Schizosaccharomyces pombe: one gene and its partners. Changing the gene in region 4 together with the main gene of any one other region gives a genetic interaction. Each region holds a gene or a part of one and is shown on either strand. Other genes may lie near its edges. The genes, in order: SPOM_SPBPB2B2.14C, pet801, mgr3 and bmt2.

What was found.
Region 1: mutations in bmt2 (region 4) and SPOM_SPBPB2B2.14C together harm fitness more than expected from each alone (negative genetic interaction), as found in Schizosaccharomyces pombe (one large-scale study listed by BioGRID).
Region 2: mutations in bmt2 (region 4) and pet801 together harm fitness more than expected from each alone (negative genetic interaction), as found in Schizosaccharomyces pombe (one large-scale study listed by BioGRID).
Region 3: mutations in bmt2 (region 4) and mgr3 together harm fitness more than expected from each alone (negative genetic interaction), as found in Schizosaccharomyces pombe (one large-scale study listed by BioGRID).

Annotation. Positions count from the first base shown.
Region 1 is NC_003423.3:4,491,072-4,495,466, reverse strand, and holds SPOM_SPBPB2B2.14C (uncharacterized protein), read left to right. Parts: upstream 1-2,144; coding exon 2,145-2,562; intron 2,563-2,612; coding exon 2,613-2,887; downstream 2,888-4,395.
Region 2 is NC_003424.3:4,585,675-4,590,760, forward strand, and holds pet801 (putative S-adenosylmethionine transporter), read left to right. Parts: upstream 1-2,795; 5' UTR 2,796-2,812; coding exon 2,813-2,836; intron 2,837-2,892; coding exon 2,893-3,049; intron 3,050-3,194; coding exon 3,195-3,649; intron 3,650-3,735; coding exon 3,736-3,900; 3' UTR 3,901-4,119; downstream 4,120-5,086. Other genes in the region: acp1 (F-actin-capping protein alpha subunit), read left to right, coding at 1-461; til1 (tRNA(Ile)-lysidine synthetase family protein), read right to left, coding at 910-1,716, 1,776-2,263, 2,309-2,384; protein Nod1, read left to right, coding at 4,591-5,086.
Region 3 is NC_003424.3:1,608,882-1,614,035, forward strand, and holds mgr3 (TPR repeat-containing protein), read left to right. Parts: upstream 1-2,615; 5' UTR 2,616-2,682; coding exon 2,683-3,753; 3' UTR 3,754-3,823; downstream 3,824-5,154. Other genes in the region: sterol transfer protein Osh3, read left to right, coding at 1-2,118; cdc123 (translation initiation factor eIF2 assembly protein), read left to right, coding at 4,304-4,973, 5,042-5,154.
Region 4 is NC_003424.3:363,061-367,946, forward strand, and holds bmt2 (rRNA (adenine) methyltransferase Bmt2), read left to right. Parts: upstream 1-2,384; 5' UTR 2,385-2,489; coding exon 2,490-3,302; 3' UTR 3,303-3,382; downstream 3,383-4,886. Other genes in the region: mug58 (glycerate kinase), read right to left, coding at 1-542; protein Vps55, read left to right, coding at 3,741-3,757, 3,813-3,831, 3,908-3,980, 4,045-4,129, 4,233-4,288, 4,335-4,471.

The DNA of each region.
Region 1 (4,395 bases), on a different chromosome or scaffold from region 4:
TATATACCGCTCTATTTTTTTGCAGTTTCCTTTAAAAAATCTCATTAGAATGTTTCAATGCATACTTAATAAATCAATTTTATCAAATGCTTTGTTGTGAATATATTCTTAAAACTCATTCATTTCTTGTAAAGAAATCTTTCTTTATATGAAATTTGAAATATTCGAAATTTCATCTTTATAACTAGGTATTTCTCAATACTTTTACATAAATTAAGAAGGGAAAAAATTTGGGTTTCCTTTTTAAATCAGTTAGAGGCGAAACCTCTAACGCTTTTCATGGCTTCGTGTTAAATGTGTAATTATTTTTAAGAAGAAATACAAACACAATTAACAGATGTTGCATAACATTACTTTAGATTTGAATTTCACCTCTTAGATATCATCCATTCACATGTCAAGTAGGTGCAGTTTGTGGTTAACATATATTATTACATCTGTATTTAACCAAGTCTAGAGCAAAGAAGATATTTTCAAAATGCTGGAAGGAGAAATTTAGAATGTATGACTTACCTTGTGAAACCCTAGTATATTACGTTTTCGTAGTAAAACTAGTAGCAGGTGAAATTTTAGAGTAGTTTGTTGACGAATGTTTGTTTCAATTTTATCGCTTAAAAATTAAATTTGTTTTAGATTCATCTATTTCCATTATATTTTTTCTTTTTTGTAACATTATTCAAGTAAGGTTATGTGTATCAAAACAATAACTTCTGACTAACTACTCGAATAACAACCAAGTATTCCACTATGATTTTTAATGATGAGCCAATATTCAAGATTGATATAATTTCCAAGAGATGTTTACAAATTCCAGTTTATAATTCCCTTACGCTTTTCTTCCTCTGTATCTCTTGAAAGCCCGTTCTACTGCATTTGCTAAAAATGCAATAAATGTATGAAAGTTAAACTCAATAATCAAAGTCTTTATGTAGTATTACAGTTATGAATTATTGCGACATTTCATCTTCAGCCTTACTCAAAATCTGAAGGATTCAACATATGGCAATTTATTTGTTTTTATCATGGGAAGCACTAACGATCAAAACATCAATAGACCATAAATCATCATTTCTATATGAAAATGTAATATAACTTCTAATACAGGAATTCCTTCTTATACATTTATTTGTAACATTGCTTCATGCTTTTTTCCCTTTCATTTTCAGTTTTCTTTTGTTCCCAAATCCCAGAGCCATAATTTAAAGAAAATATGAACTGGCTAAGCGGAACCAAAGTTTTCAGTACAATTGATCTAAAAGAGTTAGTCCGATGTATAGACTTAGTCGTTGATTCCTATTCTTTACTTTTTCGCAAGAGAATAAAATTTAGGTAGCGAACGATGTTGTAATTACATACGAATATAAATTTTTCAACGAGATTTTTTTTTATTTTTATTTTTATTTTTACAATTTTAACACAAACAAATCTATAGTCTTCCATTTCTTTTTATTTACTTTCGCAAATACTCACACCTTAAACATGATTTTTCGTGTCAACTATACTTAACTATATGCTTTATAATGCTGCTACGTAGTTAGGTTGTTCATGTTTATAGCTATTGTATGCGTACGATGTTTTCAACTATTATTTTATAAAATCAGCACACTATAGATCGAGTTTGATTGTACTACCATACATTATTATCATTATCAATGTGTCGTTAATAATCCTGTATACTTGCAACCGTGATGATGAACAATCCAACATAATTATTTACACACAAATCATAAGAACATGATTTTCATTGCAATTTATGGTATCCTTAACACTATTTACAGACTTTGAAGGGAACCGTATATTAATGCAAACTAAACCAACTTCGTTATATAGGAATTGCGATAAAAAAAGTTTGTAAGTATTACAAGATATTCACATCATAATGTTTTTCCCAAATAAATGAAACATCTCAGAACGTAAAACATTCACCAATTTTGATCTTTTTTTAATTCTTTCGTTTATGGCTTTAAAATGTTTTATTATATTTTCTTATTATCTTCCATAAACCACACTGTTTAATTTTACATTGTAAAACATTACTAGTGGTGCTAAAGCTATCAAATTGCAGTGCTGTGGTTTTATTCCAATGTCAAATCCAGAAAGCGCAAAAAAACAGGTTGACCCCCCCTGGTTACAATGAGTTATTTATGGTAAGAGATACTCGTAATGTGGACCTGGAGTGGGGACTTGAATTGTGTAAGCCTGAAAAGGTAAACAAACAAAATCTCTTTACCAACATCATCAAGCCTCAAAAAGATAAAATAAACATTAAGACAGATAAAATAAAGTTCTTTTTAGATAACCTTTTTACTGAATTTTCTAAATTTCATGATAGTTGTTATCCTGATGGTAGGATTTCTACCCGCAGTAAACTTCGTTGGCCCTTGCTTATTATTTGGTGTATTTTGATTGTTTTCGCAATAGACAAGAACTTTGAAGTCAAAGATTTTCTTTCAATTTGGATAAATGAAAGTTTTATAAATGAAAATCGGTTTTACAGTGAAATTTGGGGGCCTATTGCTATTTACATTTGTTTGTTTGTTTTATTGTTGCTTGGTTTAATTTGTATGTTTCCTTTACAGTGATGCCTTTTTTTTACTAATAATTTAAAATAGACTGCTCCAAGATTGTTGTAAAAGCTATACCATTGATCAGTATAGTTATAGCAGCGGTCGTAGTAATTATCGCGGTGGCTATGGTTAAAATTTTATACATCTGCCATTGGCTGATCTACAAAATTTTAATTTTGGCTTTCGGCATAAAAGTTAAGCCATTGGGAGACACTCTTCCTACACATAATGGAGAAACAGGATCACATTCAAAGGCAACAGTTGGTTCTGACATTGAACAAATAGAATTTCAAAATATGCCCACTCCTGTGAAAAAATAATTTTCTTTATCGTTTTATGATCGAAAAGAATATAATCATCCTTACCAATATTTTACTGACTGTACCGTCCTAATCATGCACTAAAGGTGCGTCTGTTATGAATTTCAATTATGGAGTCAACCTAATTACGGTTTTTAATGAAGTATTATCACTTGATGTTACTAATGTTTTATCTTTCGTTTCAAGTCTAATCAAATACTATGAATGTCATTTACTGCGTCACAAAATGAATTCTTAATGATACATCATGAATGACTCGTTTTTAAAGTTATGTCTGAAAACTTGAAAAATGCAGCATATGGAAATTGTTAGATCGATTGATTCATTAGCTCAATAAATTCTTAAATTGCAAATTATATTCTGGCAGCAAAAAATCGAGTTATTCAGAGTCTTTCAAAAACTCTGTTTACGTATTGACATACACATTAGACTTAGCTTTTCAACAATTTATACCGCTACTTGTCGGTATCTCCTTCACCTGAAAAAGTAAATTTGTCTAATAAATTGACATGCAAACGAAGCTTTAATGTTTGATTTCTTAACCCCAATCGAATAGACAATAGCTATTTATGAAAAAAATAAATTTTAAGCTAAAAGTAAGTATGGGTTGACGATGATGTAGAATGCATGTGATTTGAAGAAATATAATTGAAAACAAAAAAAATTTACACAAGAATTCGCATCTTTTAACTACTGTACTTAATTACAGGTGATTCCCAAAATGTCTGAGCCGCTTCATCATTACTTACTGTCACATCATTATAATTATTCAGTATTAAATATGCAAGCGCTACAATTTTATTGCTTTTATGTTTGTGAAACCGTTGTTATAATTTAAAATTAACAGAAACACAACAAATATATTTGATTGTAATAAAAGTCTTTAACAATTAAGCAAGTGTTAAGTATCCGGTATGAGATTTATGATGGAAGTTGATAAAAAAGTTAAGTATAGCACGATTAACACATTTTACAATAGAATGTTATAAAAGTTCATATTGAGCTACAAGTTCCCAAAAAAAAGCAATCTAAAGTAAGATATATTTACAAATTGCTACCAAACTGAAAATATGTGGAACTTTTTAAACAGTTTTAAAGTACTTCCAGGTTGCCTCGTATTTAAATTAAGGGAATTTTAATTTGCATTATTTGTTCTAAAATCACTGCACTTATTTATGTTAAGGATTTATTGACATGTAAGTTAGAATTGCAAGCTTTGCGTGTTCCTATGCGATCAAATAAAAACAATTTCTGCACATATTATTCATCTGCCTTATATATAGTATCAAAAAAATGAACGTAATAAATTCTATCATTCTAAAAAAACGAAAGTGAAAATTAAAAGTATGTATTCTCATATCCAGTTATCTGAAAAAGTAAATAAAATATGGAGAGTATAAAGTGGTTTCGGAACGAAGTCATATAAGCCTTCCTAAAGCTAATGTAAAACTTTAGTTAACGAAAATTTATATATTTGACTATTTGCTTAAATCGAAATTAGGTGATTT
Region 2 (5,086 bases), 4.2 Mb from region 4:
ATGAAATAGTAAAGCAAATTAAAAAGGTTGCTTCGGATCACTATCTATCTGATGTAACATTTGGAATCATCAAAAAAAGCGATGAAGTGGAATCGTTTACAATTGTTTTGGTTTCTTCAAAGTATAATCCCAAGAACTATTGGAACGGTTCGTGGCGCTGTATATGCAATTACAACGTTTCGGAAAAGAAACTGGAAGGCAGGTCGCATATTCGTGTTCATTACTATGAAGACGGAAATGTTTGGTTGGATGCATCCCGTCCTATTTCTGCTACAGTCGAGGAGACCAGTAAGCTTTATGAAGTGTTGGCTCAAGTCGAAAATGGAATTCAACAGTCCTTCAACGTTGAACTTTCTTCACTTAATGACAAAAAGTTTAAAGAATTGCGTCGTCAACTTCCAGTCACTCGCCAGAAAATTAATTGGGAAAACGTTAGTGGCATCCGTATGAGAAATACTTGAAACACTTATATGTGTTTATAAATTTTGGAAATTTTTTTGCGACGATATTTTTTAAGACGGTGATTCAAGCTGTTTCCTTTTCCTTCTTCCTAAATACATATACATTGTCGCTCGATATACGACTAATAATTACTAGTCGTTTACTTTCTAAAACTTTACAAGAGCAACTCACACGCTCTTTTCTTAAACTCTTATAAGTTTTAGGAAATTATTTTTTTACGATCAATAATACAAGTTCTTCATCATTTTTTTACCGCTCGTCACCAGTAATTTAAGGGCGTATTACTTTTTGTGTGTAAGCATCAGTCGTGCTATTTATCACCAGAATATGCTCTGAGCATCTGACTTTCACCTCTGACTTTGTGATAATATAAATAAATAATGAGGCATTATTAAATCACAAATCTTGTATCTCTAATTAACATTGATTTCATGGTTCAAGCAGCAATTAAAGCTTGAACTTGTGTAGACAGTTTGAGATAATATCACTTCTAAAATTAAACCCAAAAGTAGGTATTCCAACTAACTTATCGTTTTCTTCCGACAAGACTGGAATAGTAAACCTGATATGGCCCGGAACTTGTATACAAAATTTAAGAAACTCTTCCTTACTCAAAAATCCCTTCAATGAATTTAGATCTTTGGAAAGCAACGGTCTAAGTATAAGTGTAGTCTGTGTATTTTTGCAACTGTACTTTATCCAAAACCTGTGATCCCATAAAACATAACGATCAGGATTTATGGTTATAGTTTTTTTTTTCAATTCAGCTTTACTAAATGGTTGTCTGGAAATTTGGAGTTGTAATTTAGTGTCGTCCTTTATAGAAGAGGAAGTGAGTAGACATTTAGCAATTGTTAGCTTTTTTCCATCAAAAACTGAATTACAAAGGCTTACAACAGAAGATCGTTTAATCTGTCTGCAACTTGTAGTCAATGTTAGACACCTTAAGAGCAATTCTTCCTTAGTAAGATTAGAGTGCTTTTTGAGCTCATTTTTTGAAAAGCATAAAGATAATGTACCAGATGGCTGATGGTAGCTCACAATATTATCTTTTAGTATTTCATCAACTTTATTATCTATGTTCACCTGTAAGGACTGAAACGCGGTAGCTAGTTTTGTAGCCTCTACGGTCAATGCGGCATGTTGGTTTAGAAATCTTCGTATTGCATTTCGAGGGGTGAGATTTATATCAGCATTTGTTGGATCCTCTTCCCAAGCAATTCCATGTTGTTTTGCGGTATTTAATATTTGGTTCTTCAATTCATAGGTTAGCATAAAAGTTTAATCCACAATGCGAATTTAATTTATATTACCTTATAATATGGAAGTAATGGGCGTAACAGTTCTATATTTGAAGCCCCACAAATTGAGTCAGATTCTGGTATCTGCGATACTGGTTTCATTGCACACAATCCACCCCATGTTCCGGGTTTACGTCTTAGCAATCTCATAAATATGGTTTCTGCTTGATCATTGGCATGATGTGCTGTGCAAATATGCCTGATATTGTGTGTAATACAAGCTCTAGTCAAAACTTGATATCGATGCTCTCGAGCTATTGTCTCAAGGTTTGTTAAAGAGTGAACATCATCATTACCCCAATTGATGTTGAGATAAACATTTGGTATTAACATACGATTCAAATTCCAGATTGTTTGTAAAGCCTCTTCAGTGCTATTCTTACGAATTCGATGATCAACCACAAAGGCAATAAATTGATTAGGCCATCCAAACATAATTTGCGATTCCTTCATGAACCAAGAAAGTAGCATGCTGTCCACTCCCCCAGACACAGCTATCCCTAACTTATTAGTCTTAATTATGATACAATACAAAGTGTTCATACCAAGCCGCCTGTGACCAACCCTTCGTCGTATACTAACAAGACTGTTATAGAATTCTTTCAATTTGATAGTATCCATTGATTTTGAGTTTTTCTAATCATATAAACATTCATGCAACACAGAAAAGTCATTACATAAGGAAAGAATCCACTAAACCTTTGGTGACTTTTAAACAACAATAGCTATTATTGTAATTGTACTATCAAAATATTGAATTCATGCAACATATAAAAGAGTATTTATCGCTATAAATTCAAATCAAACATCAGATGATTTTTAACTATGTTTTTAGTAATTCGTTTTCCTTTTTATACTTGATGGTGAATGTGCAATGTAGAATCAAAGAAATTATGTATTGGAATATATGCTTGTACTGGGATGTATTTAGCAAATTAATTATATACAACAAAGTATGTCAATTTGGTAGAATTCATATTTTTCATGGTAAGAACCGACACCAACTTCTTAGAACGTGTCATTTCACTCCCTCAAAGCGCCATTCAGCAATGTCATTTTTTGAAGCTCTGGGTGTAAGAAACAAAACAAACATAAATAACTATAATGAGGACTAATCAAAAATTTCTAGGCAGGAATCTGTGCTGGATTGGCAGTTGATCTATCCTTGTTTCCTATTGATACACTTAAAACTAGACTACAAGCAAAAGGAGGATTTGTAAAAAATGGAGGGTTTCATGGTGTATATCGGGGATTAGGCAGTATACTAGTTGGCAGTGCCCCAGGAGGTATGAAAAAAAAGAAAGAAAGTAATCTAAATGTATGGTTTCTTTCTCTGGTCTTAACAAACGATAGACACTTATTAAATTACCTCTTATAATATATTACAAAGTTCACAAAGTGTATAATAAACTAACTCACTAACGCTACTAGCCTCTTTATTTTTTACTACTTATGAAAACATGAAATCCAGATTATCCCAGTCTGGCCTTGGACTATCAGATCCCCAAATTCATATGTGTTCAGCTTCTCTAGGTGAAATTGCGGCTTGTATAGTTCGAGTCCCTACAGAAGTAATTAAGCAAAGAGCACAAGCTTCTGGTGGAACATTATCATCTAGAAATATTTTGCAAACGATTTTAAAATCTAACAATGTCTGGCGCGATTTTTATGCTGGTTATGGAATCACTATTGCAAGGGAAATCCCTTTCACACTAATCCAATTCCCAATTTGGGAGCACCTGAAACTGAAATGGAGAATTAAACATTCTCGAAATAAGAATTTAGCTCATGAAGCAGCTATCTCGGGCTCCATTGCAGGTGGAATAGCCGCTGCTTTAACAACTCCATTTGATGTTGTTAAAACGAGAATTATGACATCTCAGCAGGTATGTGTTTGATTTTTTGATTAAACTAAAGAATTTTGCGCGTGAATCACTACCTTGATATACACTTTTGATACTAATTTGTTTAGCGACTTTCTTATGTGTTTACAATTAAATCGATAGTTGCCCATGAAGGCTTTCTTGCTCTTTACAAAGGTATAGTTCCTCGAGTCTTATGGTTAAGTGGAGGAGGTGCTATTTTCTTAGGCTGCTACGATGTCATATTGAATTTTATGAAAGCCGAAGGATTGTGATTGAAAAAACTAGTCATAATTTAGTTTTTAGTACTTTTTGGTTGCATACAAAAATAAAAGATAGAAAATACATTCCTTTGGCTAAGCCGCGTTTTATAGAAAGAATATCTTTAATTTCAACATTTTTTGGAAGGATTCCTTACTATAAAATATCAGTTGCAAAAAAAATTAAATCATTTTCTACTGAATTATCCACTTGATCAAATATTATAACGGTGTACTATAATGGAAGAAAAAATTGTGTTTAGCATTAATGAAGTGCTATTGTAGAATTGCTGAGCTATAAAAATGAACACATCTTGACATTACTGTATGCTCGATGTATTTGGAATCAATAAATGATGAAACAATGAAGTTTCAAACTAACTAGAGTTGTGTTTATACATAGTGCTCCATATAAGATCAAACATATCCACGAACGCTCAATAAATGTTTTATTGGTGTCTAACAAATTCTTCATGATTTGGAAACTTTATTTAGTTAAAATACTTAGCAATTTATGGTGAGACATCCATCCAATCTCAAATTTTTTCTCTATTCGTAAATACTTCTGTTTAAGCAACTAGACGAATTTTGGTTTCAAACTTCTACAACGCAATTCTAAAGTGAAGATTTCCTTGAAACGCTTATCTACTATTTGTTGATTGGGTGTTCCATACCGATTGAAATTTACTTTTCTGATATATTTAAATGGAAAAACCATTGCCTAATCCGCCTATTCAAGAAAGTTTACGAAAGCAATCCCCCCAAGACGCTGTTTACGATGATTTGGTTTTTGGTTTAAAACGTTATGAAGCGGCTTTCTCAATTAAAGACAGTATTGAAGATGTTCTAGCAAATTTTTCTAAAGACGAGGAAAAGGAAATGGTTTGTCTCAGTACGTCGATTGCAGAAAATCCTTATCAATCGCTTTCATTAGAATCTGTTCCATCCAAAATACTATTTGGATCATTTTTATTTTATGTAAAGGATCGAATCCCGGAGAAAGCTGGTTATATAATTGAAGAGCAGTTCTGTAAACGACTTCAACAAATCGATTACGATGCTTATTCTTTCTCACCAAAAGAGTGTAATGAAAAATTAAAAAATATTTTCTCTGAATTCTCTCAAATGAAGCTAAAAATGTTGTCTGTTTTTTTCTCGATTGTACAAATTTTGCTTCCTAAACTCAGTGGAGATTATCAGG
Region 3 (5,154 bases), 1.2 Mb from region 4:
GCGAAAAATAGTCAAACTTCTTCAAAGCTCGTAGTAGACGAAAGGACACAAGAATCGTCATCCAATCAGTTAGTCTCTATTTACTCAAGACTACGTGAATGCCTGGATATTGCTCAATTGTATCGCACCAGTCGTATCAAATCGGCTTCAAGTCATAATTTTTCTGTCCCTGAGATCCGTATACAACTTCCCGGTGATGCCAAAGAAAACAAGGAAACCCGTACTTCAGTGGAAATTACTGCTGCTGAAAACGCGCAAGCTGCGGTTACTTTACGCAAGGTTACTCGTCAACTCGGGTCTTTGTTGCATGAACTGGAATGCTTTATTCAACACCATGAATATACTAAAGAACGTACGGCGCAATCTTCTCCTTCGTCACGCATGTCTATGGATTCCAATTTTGAGCAACATTGGTACGACGCTGAAGATTATGAAAGCACAACTTCTCAATTGAATCACTATTCTGAGTCGGGTGCTCACGCAGCTGATGCTACTAAATCAAGTGTTGCTCATAATGAAAAGGTGGAGGACATCTCTGATTCCGATATTCCAATAATGAAAACTTCTTCTAATAGCACTTCCCTTGATGCAGATCGTGATTCTGACACTTCTTCTATTTCCGATACATCATCCAACTCTTCAGCTCCACATGAACAGTTGAATGCAACTTCTCTCGCCTCAACAGTAGATGAGTCTTCTCGGTCACCGCCTCTTCCCGAAGTTGAAAGCAATAAAGAAAACGATATCAAAAGAAAACAGCCATTCCATGATTTAATGGATTCTTCATCACCGGATGATTCCAGTTTTGCCAATGCTAAAAGCGATGAAGAGGTTCAAAAGCCTTCTGTTTCTAAAAACATCGCCGACGGGGCCGTTATTTCTATCCCTAAGCCTCTCACCCCTAAACCCTCCGATTCCAACTCTCTTTACCCTTTACCGCATTCCAAAGTTGGAAGAAGAAAGAATATACCAGCTATTACTGTTCCACCGCCAAGCATACTATCAATTTTACGAAAAAACATTGGAAAAGATATCAGTTCTATTCCTGCACCCGTTGTTTCTAATGAGCCTTGTAATTTACTGCAACGGTGTGCTGAAGATCTTGAATACTCTAACATGCTAGACAAAGCTAATGAATGCGATGATGATATAAAAATATTTTACGTTGCTGCTTTTGCCGTTTCAAATTTTTCCAATATGAGACATAAAGAAAGAAGTGTTCGAAAGGTTTTCAGTCCCTTGTTAGGTGAAACTTTTGAGTTGGTGCGGGAAGACAGAAATTATCGTTTTCTAGCTGAAAAAGTCTGTCATCGACCTTTAATTATTGCTTGTCATGCTGAAAGTCGAAATTGGATTTGGAACCACTCGCCTAAACCCATACAAAAATTTTGGGGAAAGTCTGTTGAATTAAATACTCTTGGTCCAGTCACCATTAAGCTTGCTTGTGGTACTGAATTCAGCTTTATGAAGCCAGCCTGTTTCCTCAAAAACGTTGCGATCGGTGAGAAATATGTGGAGCCTTACGATCATATGGAAATCGTTGATGAGACAACAGGCGATAAGGCAGTGATACGTTTCAAGAGTGGAGGTATGTTTTCTGGACGTTCAGAAGATGTTTTAGTAACAGTTATACGATCCAATGGTGAAGAAGATCCTAAATGCTTGCAAGGGAAATGGACCTCACATCTCGATTTTGTAAATACAGATGAAGGCAATGTAATCGAGCGTATCTGGGAAGTTGGTCCTTTGGTCGACAAGCCTGAAGATCATTGCGGAATGACTGTTTTTGCTGCTCAAATGAATGAGATTACAGATTTGGAAAAGGATAAATTGCCTCCAACCGATACCCGTTTGCGTCCTGATCAACGTTATAGAGAAAACAACGATCTCGATCACGCAGAACCTTTAAAATTGGAACTGGAGCAAAAACAACGCGAAAGAAGGAAAGAAATGGAGGAGAAAGATATAAAATGGGAACCTAGATGGTTTGTTCCATCTGTTGCTGGTGATGACGAAGATGAAGATGGGTCAGGTCCAATTTGGCAATTAAAAAAGGAAAATAATTATTGGGAATCTCGTGAAAACTCTACTTGGAGTTCATGTCCTAAATTATGGTGAAGTCTTATGTAACAAAAGAATTAAAAAAAAAGGAAGAGAAAGTCCCTTAAAAAAATACTCTTAAGTTTCTTAATGCTGCATAAATCGTTGGTTTTTCCTTCGTTTCATATATATTTTGTCTTTGTTTTAATAGTAAATATCTTTTAACGTTTCGTTTGTGTGTAATTAGATTCAATTGCTGTTAAGATCGTATTTTAATTCGTAGTTATGAACTAATTTAACAACAATATATTGTGTTCATTCAGCAGTGATACTAAGTGCATTTGTAAACAACAGTTTAAGGAGCATGGAATCTTTTACTACTACTACCATAAAAGACACTAATAAAATAAGTCGGTGGTGTCATTGTTTTTTGCAATTTGACATATAATGTTTATTATTATCCAAGATAGGTATCGCTGGTATACAAAAGTAACTAACACCGCTCATTATATTTTGCTCCAAAGATTTAGTGAGGCTAAACATTAGTGGTTTGACCCTTCCATGCTTTCTATGTTGACATAAACTACTAATATCGGAAATTATAGTATTAGTTAATTTGTTTGTATACGATTAAAAAAAAGTATGCGTATGCAATGGATTTGGAAAAGTAGACGCTCTTTGCAAAACGTCTTTATACGTCGCTCATCTCAATACCATAAGCCATTTTGGCGAAGACCATTGCCGGCAACCCTGCTGGGCTGCGCGGTTTTAGGAGTCGCTGCTGTTTATTTTGCCAAACCTTCTCCAATTGATGAAAATTATCCCAGGTCCGTGGCTAAGTATTTACATGAAGCATTATATCGACAGAAGGGAGAAAATAATCACGACTTTCAGGACGCCTGGAAGGCTTACCAGTCTGCCATTAAACAAGCCGAGAGTGAGAAAATGGATATGGAATCTCCTCCGGTTCAAGGAATCCGTTTGCAAATGGCGAATTTGTTAGCATCTGCAGGAGCGTTGCACAAAGCCTGGTCTATGTACTGGGATATTCTAGAAAGGACTTCAAAGCTTCCTGACTTTCTTGAGCAAAGAGTTTTGATTGCAAGCAAGCTAATCGAATTATCAGAACCGCTTGGCTTACAAAAGGATGCCACCAAAGCAGCAGACCTCATAGTAAAAGCATTGTTATCAAAACAATTTAATGGTGATGATGAGCAAAAGAGTAGGCTATTTGAACAATCGGCTACTCTGTATTTTCAAGCCGGAACTCCATCTTATGCAGTTCCGCTTTATCATGAAGCATTGAATCTTACTATGGCAAATCCTTCCTGCCACGGATTGATATTAATGAATAATTTGGCTACCAGTCTTTTAGCTCAGACTGAAACGGTCGACAAAAAACATCACGAAACGCTTATGAAGCAATCACAGTCCTGGTCTCAAAAGGCAGTTGACTCCTACTACTTCGCCTACCCTAAGGATCGTAATCAAGAGTGTCATGCTGGTTGTGCGGCTGCTTTCTACACTTTGGGTCAAATCGCTGAGCGCCAAGGAAACATCGATTTGGCTCTTAAGCATTATAAAAATTCTGAAGCATTGAGGAAAGACGATCCATACAATGATGGTTCAATGCTTTCACATATAGCTATTGATCGTCTTGATAAAGATGCTTTCATTAAAAAATTGGATAAATCCTCCTCTCCTACTGATTAGCTACGTACTTTTTTTGAATATTTACTAAATTAGTCTTAAATGTAATCGTATGTCTACGAAACATATTTACTAAATTTACGTACAAGCATGAATGTAGAGAAAAATCTTATTATCGTGGATAAATCTAAACATGCTTTTTTCAAATGGCTTTGGAAATAAGACATGTAATCAATGCGGCCATTGCTACTATCTTAAACCGAAAAACCACAGACTAGGATGATTTGTGTATTCTCAATTTCATAATTTTTGCTAAAACTTTTGTAAGTCACTTATGTAAATTCTTCAATTAATGGTTGCACGTTATTTGTCGGTGTTTGTCATAATACTTTTTTTACAACTTCTGAATTTACAAAGCTCTGGTTATCATTTTAATTCATTATAATTTATAGTAAAAATGGAAAATATGTGTCTCCAAAATGTTTACCACTCAAATTTTTCTAGATACTAGTTTATTTGTGCACTTGGCGCTTGGTTGTTCATTCACAACATATAAGCATATTTTATGGGGACACCAAAATATTAACTTCAGTGCCATAGATGAATACGGAAAATGACTCTAATACTTACTAAGAATCAAGTACTTCATTGCCAGTTTTCTAGCTGGTACAGTTTGTTTCGCAAATTGACACCTAAAGCTAAAGTAATCAAGCCCATCCCAGCTACAGTACTTAAGTATTTGCATGAAGATAGTATATATGTTGAACAGCCTATGAATACTGTAGAGGAGGTTGATAGTGAGGAAGACGAGGAATCTGCGCCAGCCTATTATCCCGAGAGAGAAGCTATCCAATTAATTGAAAAAGCAATTAAAGAGCTAGGTGGAGCAGTAGTTCCAAAGCTAAATTGGTCAACTCCTAAAGATGCTCTATGGATTACTACAACAGGCTCTTTAAAATGCACGACAGCTGAAGAGGTATTATTATTACTGAAGTCGTCCGACTTTGTTGCCCATGATCTTAATCATGCTTTTGATGATTGCAAAGATTTCGATAATGCAGATGGTTCAGTACCTAAAGATTTTTCTTTCGAACTTGTTTTAAAGGAATGGTTTCCAATGCATGCGTCAACTGAATTTCGTTGTTTTGTAAAAAGTAAAAGATTGATAGCGTTTTGTCAGCGTGATGACAATTATTACGAATTTTTGAAAGAAAACATTGATTGCTATGAAAAATTGATATCAGATCTCCTTAAAAAACTTGATACATTCCCGGATCCTGATTGTAAGTTAATATTTAAGTGCTTATGAACTAGTCCTTTGGAGTTATTTATTTTACTAACTTGAAAATAGTCGTGTTTGACGTATATATTCATAAAGATCGTGCTTGGTTGATTGATATTAATCCGTTTTACCCAAGAACAGATGGTTTACTATTCTCTTGGTCTGAATTGGAATCAATGAAT
Region 4 (4,886 bases):
CACAGTAAACTTCCTTCAATATTTTGCCAACGTGTTGATCGTGCTCGGACAGACAGCATGCAAGAATCGAGCGGCTCAAACCCAACCATCCATCCTTCAAAAATTACATAGGTAGTTGTTTTAGGATTTGCCTTTTTCCATTGGGATTCATCTCCCCTATCTCCGTAGCCACCAAACTTGGATTTATCGTAAAAAGGGATAGATACCTCCTCATCGCTTCCCTTAACAAATGCATTTAAAACATTATTTAAAAATGTGACATCATGGGTTCCAGCTAAACCACGATGTTGAACAAGAGGATTATTGGGATTATTTTTGGCCAATTCAACTTGTTCTGCGTGCGTGAGGTAAAAGTCGTCAAGTGAGAACTTCACAACTGATTCGTTCTTCCTTGTTAATTCGGTATCTAAAGCACTTGCCAGTGTGCTTTTACCAGATCCTTGAGGGCCGGAAATTCCAAGAATAAAAGGACGACCTTCAGGTTTTGGCTGCTTTTCCAGGAATTTTAAAATTTTGTCGACAATGATTTCCAACGAACTCATATTCCACTTCTATATAAAATTTTTAAATTAAATACAAAACCTAGCTTCCCCTTAAAAACGACTTAATAACATAAGTATAGGAAAGACGTAGGACTAATACTCGAAATGTGAAAGAAAGCGAGGTGCTGTAGCTATATGAAAATTCAATGTTAAGTACCACAGTGACTAGATACTTTCGTAACGACTACCAGTAAAGGACTACAAACACAAAAAGCTTTTTAAAAGGCTAAAGTCGTTATGCAATGGTTGGATTTTACCAACAAAGTTTTGTTACGGGATGTTGTATCACTAACATTCCGTTACGTCTCATTTGTGCCAATATACTGAATGCTTGCGTAAACTCTGTAATACTTGGAAACGGCTTCACTGCGCCTCACTATTTGGAAAGTTGTAACGCTGTAAATGTTTTGTTTTTACCTATAAGTAAATAGAAGATACATAATAAAATTTGGTGATGCTCTGGATTTTCAGGGATAATAGAATTTCTGTAGTTATATTTTCTACAATGACGGCTAACTTTTAAATTGTTTAATCTTGATGCCATGCAGTATAGCTCAAATGCTGAAGAATTTAGGTAATATGCATTTTATACTTTGTCTTTAAATTGTCATACTTGTCTCTTGCGACTTTTATAGCTAAATAATAATATTCCAGTGCTAACGTATGTGTTTTTTCTATAGTAATCCAAAAAAAACACGCAATTTATTGTGTCAGTAAATAAAGTAACTTGTAAAAATAAGTTTAGCTGAAATGTACAACAATCAGTCCCCCATCCAATGCGATAGCAGCCGCAGTTACAAATATTATTTATATTTAATTATTACATTTTGTTTACAGGTACATAATGTTTGTTAACACTTTTTGTACGTTTAATTAAACTAAAAGTATTTATTTTTTTAACATATACTCTAAAAAATTAATTTACTCAAGTTTGAGTTATCAAGAAAATTTAATCTACAATAATTATTTTTGAAGCACTTATTTGTTTTAATAGTATATAGTCTGGTGAAACAATTAGAATTCGTCTGTAAGTAGTAAAAATACAAAAATGTTTCTATGGTTTTCATATCATAAATACTTACACTTCACCCGTTTAACTTAAAAACTTAAGGTAATCCGTAGTACACCAAATTCTTTTCTTTTCTTTTTTTATTTTTTTTTATTTTTTAAAATGTATTTTATTTAAGAAATAATAAATAAAGTCCCTTATCCAATTCCACTAGATATAAATCGTTAGTTTAGAATTTACCAAAATACTTTTCAATAGCTGTCGTATATACATATTTATACACATTTATTACTTTCTTTTAAAAATAACTTATATCAATTATATCGTAACGTAACTGATGAGTGGAATCATTTAAAACAATTTAAGAGAGAAGTTGATATTGGCTGTTTATTTATCCGAATTTTTTTATGTTATAGTTCTACCATATTTGGCGGTTGTTTTCTTTATTTTGATTATTTTTTAAAAACAATTGAAAAAGTTTAGTTAATAATCAAGTAAATCTAATAACTATATATACAGTTTTCAAAGCACAATATCAACTGAGGCTTCGTGGTGTAGTGGTAGCATACTTCGTTTGGGTCGAAGTGGTCAGGGGTTCGATCCCCCTCGAAGCCCAAAGCCTTTAAATTTTTGTTTCAAATATAAAAAAAGTTGATTTGTGCTTGTAAAGTACAAACCGTATAAAAAAAGGAAACCCGTTTAATATTCTGTGTAATGGTTAAAGGGTTGCATAAATTACCGCTCTTTAATTACATATTAAGAATTTATCATACATTGTCCAAGCTCTTCTTGTGCTGAATTTTTATAAGTAACGCGACACTACTTCTTTCATCGTAAAAACTTTTCAAGTAATTAGGAAACTACATTTATGAACCATTTACTGTAAATACAATTATATTTTCATCTGGGAGATTAACAAATATTTTATCACTATTTGAATGCGTCCCATTCCAGTGAAGAATCGCATTGGAAAAAACAACATTGATAATGCAAAGGGACTGAAGGGGAATAAGCTTATTCGTCATTATCATAACCTGTTAAAAGAGAAATCTCGACTTATTGCGTCAAGTGCTCCGATTGAAAAAATAAAAAATGTGGAAAGTGAACTCGAAAATATAGGTATTGATGCTTACCAACGAGCTAGTCGATCCGGTCAAGCGGAAGGAAAAGGAGGGGATTCAAGTAAAATATTGATAAAATGGATTCGGACAACTCCCTGTTTTTCGTATTGCGCACGTCTTAAGGAGCCGAAAGATTTGTTGGAAATTGGCAGTGTTTCTGTTGACAACAAATGTTCAACTTGTGGACTTTTCCGAGTTTCAAGGATTGATTTGCATTCTGTTCATCCCTTGATTAAACAACAGGACTTTCTTGAAAGAACTCCTGAAGAAGGACTTTTTACTGGGATAAGTTGTTCACTTGTGCTGAATTTTGCACCTCCAGAACTCCGAGCTAAAATGTTATTACATTGTACAGGATTGTTAATGCCTCCTAATAAAGAACAGCCTCCTTGGTTATTTTTGGTTTTGCCTTCGCCTTGCATAACAAATTCTCGGTACATGGATGAAAAAACATTACACTCAATTATGATACAGTTTGGATTTATCTGTCGTCAAAAGTCTATATCGAAAAAAATAGCCTACTATTTATATTCTTACGAGTGTTTTCCTATGAAAGAAATAGACTGGAAAAAGAAGATCGTTAATGATGGGGCAACTAGGAATAATTTCTTCATTCCCTGTATACTCTAATTAAGATATTTGTCAATACAAAATTTATTTTACTAGTATCTCAAAGTTAAATTAATGAAATGAATGCTTTTTGTCGGTTATCCTCTTGCTTTTTTTTAATTGTATTGTTAATGTCAATTACTAGCCTTTACTTACGTAGCTACAAAGTACGTTTTTCAGAGTTTGTTCGTATGCGATACTTTACTAATGAGCCGAAAGCTCGATCATTGGTGTAAAAAATAGTAACAAGTCATTTTCGTTATATGTCTTTTTAAACTTATTTGCCAAGTTTACAAATCTTGTGCACCGCTCTGTGTTCTATGCATACAGAACACATCTGTATAACGTAATGGAGCGTACCCTTTTTAGGTGAAGTAGCTGGTAATCATCGAAGTCTCTCTTCTCAAAAGCAGTAAACTTTAGCTTGCAGTATATATTCGTGAACGATAGTAATTAAATATGTCCGACCTCAGGAAGTAAGTAATTTTTGTTAATATGAAAAAGCAAAGGTTAACGTTTGTCACCAATTAGAATTATCGGTCTTTCTTCGGTATGCATCGCTCAATGACTCCTACTCGAGCTAGACATCAATTCCATTTTAAACGAGTCTAACTTATATTATTAAGGTCCTGGCAGTAGGATTTATGCTGGTGATCCTGTCTTGTGCTTTATTCAAGAATTGGTATCCACTGCTAATTGGTATGATTTTGTCAACCGTTGAGAACTATTTCATTTACATTGCTTACGAATTACTAATGAATAGTCATTCCATTCATTTTAGCTCCTCTTCCTAATCTCCTTACGAAAAAATACTCGACAAGCCATGACTTTTTACAAGAGGAAGACAGGTATGGAAATATAATAATGTTGGTTGTTCTGGGGAAATTATTTCAACCATAATTGTTATTTTTCATTATTATTTGTAAGGAGCTCTACTAACGTTTACTAAAGAAATCTTCTTGACTTTGGTCGATTTACATTCGGTGCAACCATCTGTACCGGGTTTGGTATGTATTTATAACTGAATGAGACCTTTATGCTAATTTATAATAGCTTTACCCATAGTATTTGTTAATGTCGGATTAATTGGTACTGCTGCTGCTACAATGAGTTGCGTTGGTGGATCTATTATATTTCTTGTTATTACTTTATATTCTCAAGCTTTTGTTCAACACGAAGAAGAATTTTAATATTTATTTACTTGATTATTAATTGCTCGTTTAATGCTTGTCTTTTCTCATACTTTGCTCTCCCCTTAGTATTTCTTAGTGTCTGAAGAGTTATAAGGATTCGTGTTAATATTAACAGTTTTCTTGAATTTTTCAGATGTTCAATTTCACGGAGCATTGCTTTCAAGTCTTGATTCTTGAAGTATGTTAACGAAATATCTTACTCATTGGCTTTTGACTATAGTTAACCTGTTTCTCTCGTTTTTGGGTGCTTTTTACTATAAGAGAAATACTGGAATTTTTCAGTTTCTTGGAATTTTTATATTGATTAAATATCTAGTCATTGTCAAAATAGATATTACGTTACATATTTAAACTAGTAATTAGTAAGGCCGAAGTATCACGAAAAGTCACTTTTATGATAAAATTAAACTAT